2 linked regions of the Arabidopsis thaliana genome follow. The protein of the gene in region 2 interacts with the protein of the main gene of each other region in a pairwise test. Each region holds a gene or a part of one and is shown on either strand. Other genes may lie near its edges.

Evidence for each region. Proteins that work in one complex are often made in the same cells at the same time.
Region 1: the proteins of PYL3 (region 2) and AT5G51910 interact in binary tests that used the Arabidopsis thaliana proteins (3 or more experiments, as listed by UniProt).

Annotation. Positions count from the first base shown.
Region 1 is NC_003076.8:21,094,049-21,097,643, reverse strand, and holds AT5G51910 (TCP family transcription factor), read left to right. Parts: upstream 1-1,752; 5' UTR 1,753-1,835; intron 1,836-1,941; exon of another isoform or gene 1,942-2,036; 5' UTR 2,037-2,058; coding exon 2,059-2,940; 3' UTR 2,941-3,078; downstream 3,079-3,595. Other genes in the region: AT5G51920 (Pyridoxal phosphate (PLP)-dependent transferases superfamily protein), read left to right, coding at 1-442; AT5G51900 (Cytochrome P450 family protein), read left to right, coding at 3,190-3,595.
Region 2 is NC_003070.9:27,461,131-27,464,492, reverse strand, and holds PYL3 (PYR1-like 3), read right to left. Parts: upstream 1,511-3,362; 5' UTR 1,402-1,510; coding exon 772-1,401; 3' UTR 525-771; downstream 1-524. Other genes in the region: BGAL17 (beta-galactosidase 17), read left to right, coding at 2,325-2,495, 2,598-2,702, 2,839-3,034, 3,150-3,238. UniProt on the Arabidopsis thaliana protein: Receptor for abscisic acid (ABA) required for ABA-mediated responses such as stomatal closure and germination inhibition. Inhibits the activity of group-A protein phosphatases type 2C (PP2Cs) when activated by ABA. Can be activated by both (-)-ABA and (+)-ABA.

The DNA of each region.
Region 1 (3,595 bases), on a different chromosome or scaffold from region 2:
GGTAAGTGCTCTCTACAAACTCAAACATTCAACAACTAGTCGTCTAGTTAAAATCTACGGTCCGAAAGTTAATTTCAATCGAGGACCAGCGGTTGCGTTCAATCTATTCAACCATAAAGGCGAAAAAATCGAACCTTTTATCGTGCAGAAGTTAGCCGAATGCAGCAACATCTCACTCGGTAAAAGTTTCTTGAAGAACATCTTGTTCCAAGAAGACTACGAAGGCGTGAAAGATAGAGTTTTTGAGAAGAAAAGAAACAGAGACGTCGACGAACCAAGGATCTCTGTTCTCACTGCTGCGTTAGGGTTTCTTGCTAATTTCGAAGATGTTTATAAACTTTGGATATTCGTTGCTCGGTTTTTGGATTCAGAGTTTGTTGATAAAGAGAGTGTGAGATGTGGAGTTCATGTTTTTGAACATAAGAACCGTGAAGTAGTCTAGTTAACATATAGCCTAGTTTTGGCTCGGTTTGCTTTGGTTCACTTCTTACATCAGAACCGGTTCAAGTATCAATGAAAATTTTGATTTTTGTTCAGTACAAAGTCAGCGTCAACATTAGCGTCCAAGTAGCACCTCTATCTCCCACTAATTTTGATTTTGCTACTGATTCAAAAAAAAATAATTAACTTTCGAAAAAAGGTAGCTCATATATATTTATTTACAATTCGCTCATTCCTAGATGTCAAGTAGATATGAACGGGGCAAATGAATGCCCAATAACTAAAATAAACCCATATCAGCTATATATTTCTTCGGTTGTTAAAAATTTTGATTTTATAAAATTTATTGCACAAATGATTTTCTAGATGTTATTTTTATTTTTATTTTTAGTATGATAAATACTAAATTTCAAAATGCAATGATTGAAAATAATTAAACTTTTAATTTTATTAGCTCATAATTAAACTTAAAAATATTTAATATAAAAAATGTTAATGATTAGATAATGTTTTTTTTTTAATATGTGAAAAAATCCCAAACATCAATCTATTATAAAAATATGGAATAATACTTTTATTTAATCTATTTTTTTAGTAGTCAACATCAAAAGATTATTACAAATGACCAATGTTGATAATTTTAACTTATAAATATAGTATTAAATAATGAATAGTGAATTGTTTTCTTTTTGGCGGGTGAAACCTTATTTCCAAGCTTCATACTCTAGTCTTCGAGAGTCATGCTTAGTAATTGACATTTTTTGTTGCCATCATTTCTTATAAAGCTTACCCTAAGCTTGCAAGAATATTTACCGAGTAGTTTGGAATCTTGGTGTTGTAAATCATGCACTATTTGTTTTACTACGCAGTTCCAATCTTCTCGTGGGGACCAAAGTTTTTCAACCTTGTATACAACAAAATCAACAAGGGATTAGGTACACCAAATTGGTTTTTACGAAAACAGTAACATGCTATCAAAATAGAGACTAGTCGTTTTGGTGATAGAATTCAGACCAAGACAATAATGGTTTTACTTGTCAATAATACTCAGAAATGAACATAAGCTGCACTTGTCAATAGTACTCAGTTTTGAGATAGCTAAGTTTTGTATTGCCCTAGTTATGGCTCGGTTTTGTCCAATTCGGTTGGTTTGGTTCACTTCTTAAATGGAAACCGGTTCAACTGTACAACTATCAATAAAAAAAAAAAAATTAGCTCCACAACATGACTCTTGTGATGTGGTCGAGGCCAAGGCCCATTAGTTAGCTAAAACAGGCCCATATGAAGTATGTGATCTAGACCGTTGATTTGTAATGGGACTATATAAAAATAAAAACGATGATCTTGAGGGCCCCTTCTTCCATCTTTGTAGGGTTCTTCGTGCAGAGGATAAGGTTAGCTGTGGTTTTTTAATTTTATTTTTCTACCTTTGTAGGGTTTCCTCACTTTTTTTTATCCACTGTTCTTTAGTTTTCAATCTGTCAAATTCAAACAGATAACATTTTTCGTCAAAAGAATCAGTAAAAACTAAACATTTTGACTATATCCTACTTGAATCAATTCTTCGGCTGATTTTGAAGTTTTGTGACATTCAGATATTCTAGGGTTTTGTGGTAAATGGAATCGAATCACGAAGGCAACGCGATACAAGTGATTGACCAAGTAACAACCATGACCCATCTGTCTGACCCGAATCCGAAAACCAAACCGGGTATGATGCTCATGAAACAAGAAGACGGGTATTTGCAGCCGGTGAAGACTAAACCGGCTCCGAAGAGACCGACTTCTAAAGACCGTCACACGAAAGTAGAAGGACGAGGTCGGAGGATCCGAATGCCGGCGGGTTGCGCTGCTCGGGTCTTTCAATTGACCCGTGAACTTGGTCACAAATCCGACGGAGAAACGATACGGTGGTTATTGGAACGAGCTGAACCGGCGATAATTGAAGCAACCGGAACCGGAACTGTACCGGCTATTGCTGTATCGGTTAACGGAACTTTAAAAATCCCGACGAGCTCTCCAGTGTTGAATGACGGCGGCCGTGACGGTGACGGTGACCTAATAAAGAAACGGAGGAAGAGAAACTGTACGAGCGATTTCGTAGACGTTAATGACAGCTGTCATAGCTCCGTTACTTCTGGGTTAGCTCCGATAACGGCGTCAAACTACGGCGTTAATATCCTGAACGTTAATACACAGGGGTTTGTGCCGTTTTGGCCTATGGGTATGGGTACTGCGTTTGTTACTGGTGGGCCGGATCAAATGGGCCAAATGTGGGCTATTCCTACCGTTGCTACAGCTCCGTTTCTGAATGTTGGTGCTAGACCGGTGTCTAGTTATGTCTCAAACGCTTCAGACGCTGAGGCGGAGATGGAAACGAGCGGTGGCGGAACGACGCAACCGCTGAGGGATTTTTCGTTGGAGATTTATGATAAGAGAGAGCTTCAGTTTTTGGGTGGCTCAGGGAACTCATCTCCGTCTTCATGTCATGAGACTTAAGGAATTTTAACTCTTAGTTCTAGTTTCTTTTTAGTTTTTAGTAAGTTTGATTCCTGATTTAGGTTAAGTAAGATTTGTAAAAGAATTGGGAGCACAATTTCAATTTTATGTTTCTGTCAAACATTTTGGTAATTAATGGAACTATCCTATCATTTTTAAAAAATAAATCAAAATGAGATTAAAAATGAGTCTGCTAAAACGCCAGAGGTTGAGTCTGCTAAAGCTCTCGACACAATAGTAGAAGGAATAATGTATAGGCACGTTAAACCTAGATTCTCGTGGAAGCTACAAAGCTGGATCGGAGTTGGGATGGAGAAGAAGATGATAGAAGCTGGTGCCATTTTTGATCGAGTGTGTGGGAAATACATATCAGCCAGGAGAGAAGAGGTAAAAAGATCACAAGTGAATAATAATGATCATTTCATTAGAGATAGTCATGCAAATCTTTTGACATCTCACATAAAGCTTGATACAACCCAGTACCAGCTCTTGGATCCTATCAATGATAAATTCTTAAGAGACAATGTCTTTGCTTTACTTCTAGCTGGGAGAGATACCACTGCCTCTGCTCTCACTTGGTTCTTTTGGTTTTTGTCCGAAAACCCTCTAGTGGTGACCAAGATTCGCCAAGAGATTGACATGAATCTACCAAGAA
Region 2 (3,362 bases):
GTGTGTTTTGTCACCCTAGAAAGTAGTTAACAAATCTATCATAATTTATAAGTTCATAAATCGCAATTAACAATTGGTTTTCTTGATGTTCCAAATCCAAATTTATAGAAGCCACGTGAGCCATGCGGTCCCAAATATCCAAATACAGACAGATTCGTATTTCGAATCATCTGACACGAATATTCTTCATGGTGTTGCAATGACGATACGTGTATTCGTTTTCTTCATGGTTTCAAGAAATTTTGTAACAAATGCTGAAAGATGATGCACCAAGTTTCTATCAAAAAAATTGGACTGACTTTTATTTTTGACAGCCAGCATTTTTCTACTGATCTATATATAATTTAACTAGATATACATAGATTATTTTATATTCGAATGTTTACTTTTACTTTACATATAATTGAACTCATACTGTAAATATCAATAACACTTCCATCTAACTTAAGTGACTTCTAATTTTCAAAATTAAGAAAAATCCAAGCATGAAATTTTTCATGAAACGTGAAAGTATAGAGAAAAGAGTAATAATCAATTAACTTCAGTGCCGATAGTATATAAATTTGGGATAGCTGCCGAAAGCAAACAAATATATATAGTTGGGTCGGATCATTTCAGGGATTTCCTTATATAATAATTACTAAGCCCATTATAGCCCATAGTTTTATATACACACCTCACATTCCACACAAACACATCCGTTGAACAAATAATCGGCCCATTTATGGCCCATTATATACACCACACATGACATTTTCAACACAAACACTTTCAGGTCGGAGAAGCCGTGGAAATGACGGCGAGATTCTGTAGATTCGACTTAACGACCGTATCCACAAACATCCTTGTATCTTCTTCCGTGTTACCTTGTGGTATATCAACAATGTAAGACTCCAATACCACACTATACACTCTCTTCTTCTTATCCTTTTCCAAGACGACGAACTCGTTGACCGATGTAACCGACCGGTAATTATTTAACCGGTGTTCTCCTCCAAGAACACGAAAACTCAAGATTCGTTTCTCTTCGTCAAGAACTTCGAGTATCTCAACGCTTGTTGACGCTGGAAGACCAGAGACCACGCTAACTTCCCTTATAGTCCCAACTTTAATCTCTTTGATGCCGTTACCGTTAACTCTGATGGTGCAACTCTTGATGAAGTGTTTGTATTTGTTTGGATTGGCGAAGTCGCGGACGAATCTCCATATGGCATGTGCCGGTGCGTCTACACGGTGTGCTATGAGTGATGTGCACGTGTTTGGCGATCTTGGGAACGTGTGGTGTGTTCGGATGATGGAGTCTAGTGTTGAGAACTCGTCCTTTGTTAATCCGTATGGTGTTGACGATGATGTTGTTGTTGTTGATGATGATGATGGATCATGGATTGGAGCAAGATTCATGGTTTTGGGTGTACTTTAATTTTGAGAAGAAAATTGTGTACGAAACTAGGACTAATTCTCTTGACATACGTATATATATAGATATATAATGTGTTATGACTAATATTTGGAGTTGGGCTGCACGAAAATGCCTTTGTCATTTGGCTTTTTAGAAAATTGGGTGTACAAGTGTGAACGTGACATCAAATCTCATTATTGTATGACTCATTGGATCCTTCAGAAGCTACCTATAGATCAACTTTTTGGATAAACAATACGAAAATGAAGCATCAAAATGGAATCTAAACTAAATTTGTTAAATTGAATATGATATGCAAGACGTAGAAGAAAGATCAACGCCCCTATTAAGGGTGTATATGGTGGAAGAAGAGTTGTTTCTGATTTAGACTTTCGTATGGGCATTGGTTTGTATGCAAGTTGCGTGTATTACAAAGAAAAAACAAATCAAGATTAGTGTAACTTTGAGTTGAGCCCATGTCCAATACACTACACACAATATGTAAATTTTATTTTGTTGACTTTAGTCCATACTCTAATCAACACGTGATGTGCACGTGATAACGAAGTAGTGATGTTGTCGTCAAATCCGAGCCGTTTACTTTTCCGGCCATGGGGGCTTGAATTTGCCGGTACGATAGCGATAGCTTCTTAAACCAATTTGATAGTTTTTGGTAGCTTGTCCTTTTCAAATCTGGGCTTGTTAAGGAACATCAAGTTAGGAAATTGATTGGTATACTTCAACTTCTTCTTGTTGCAGTCTGTCTCTGATGTGGTGATTGTATCCGTCAGGTTTCTATGATACAGTATGCAAACCCGGCATTAGTTCACCGGAACCGATGTCTCCCGGTTTAGGAGTTGAATTTTGCTAAAACCGGCTAAAAAGTGCGCAATTTGGCCAAGCGTACTATTGCAGAAGAGGGACGATGGCGATGACAAGCTGGCCATCAACGGGAAGACAAAGAAGACATCAATTGGCTTCCATGTTGCTCCTGGTTCTTGTAGTTGTCGGAATCTATGTTCCTGTCTTCGCTCTTCTCCCTTCACTGTCATATACTCCTCAGTCTCTACCTTCTGCTATACCTCAGGACGAGAAGGTAAGCATGATTCATACTTCAGTGCTTTCTACTAATTGCTTCGTTTTAGTTGGAACCGAAATCAATGTAAACGTTCTAAACTTTCAGTTTTAAGAGATGCAGATGATATCTCGCAAGTTTTATATCAAGGATGACAATTTCTGGAAAGATGGGAATCGTTTTCAGATCATTGGTGGTGATTTGCATTACTTTCGTGTTCTTCCAGAGGTACATGTGTCTTTATAACAAGTAATCCATATGATTGCTAAGTAAGAAATCTTCAATATTTTCTGCTGTTAACCATCATTATGTTATGTTTATAATATATATGATTTGATGAATTAATGCCAGATTATGGATGCAGTACTGGGAGGATCGGCTTTTAAGAGCCAATGCTTTAGGCTTGAATACTATTCAAGTATACGTTCCTTGGAATCTGCATGAACCAAAGCCTGGGAAGATGGTTTTTGAGGGTATTGGTGATCTTGTCTCCTTTCTCAAGCTGTGTGAGAAACTAGATTTTCTGGTTATGCTACGTGCTGGACCTTATATCTGTGGAGGTCTGTGTTGTTGTGATTCTTATTGAGTTGATACCAATGTTTTTTACCACATTATGTGGAAGATTTGCTTATACAACGGAAAAAGTTCTGATACATGTTCCCATCTCCATGACAGAATGGGATTTGGGAGGCTTTCCTGCTTGGTTACTTGCTGTGAAACCACGTCTCCAACTAAGGACATCAGATCCTGTATATCTTAAGTTGGTAAGTTATCAGTTAAATGAAGTAAGTAGTAGATAGATAGTTGGAGTTGCAGTTAATCAGCTTGCAGTGTGCATTATTAATCTAAGATATATACACATTCATAGTTCCATGTTTGCCTCTTTAA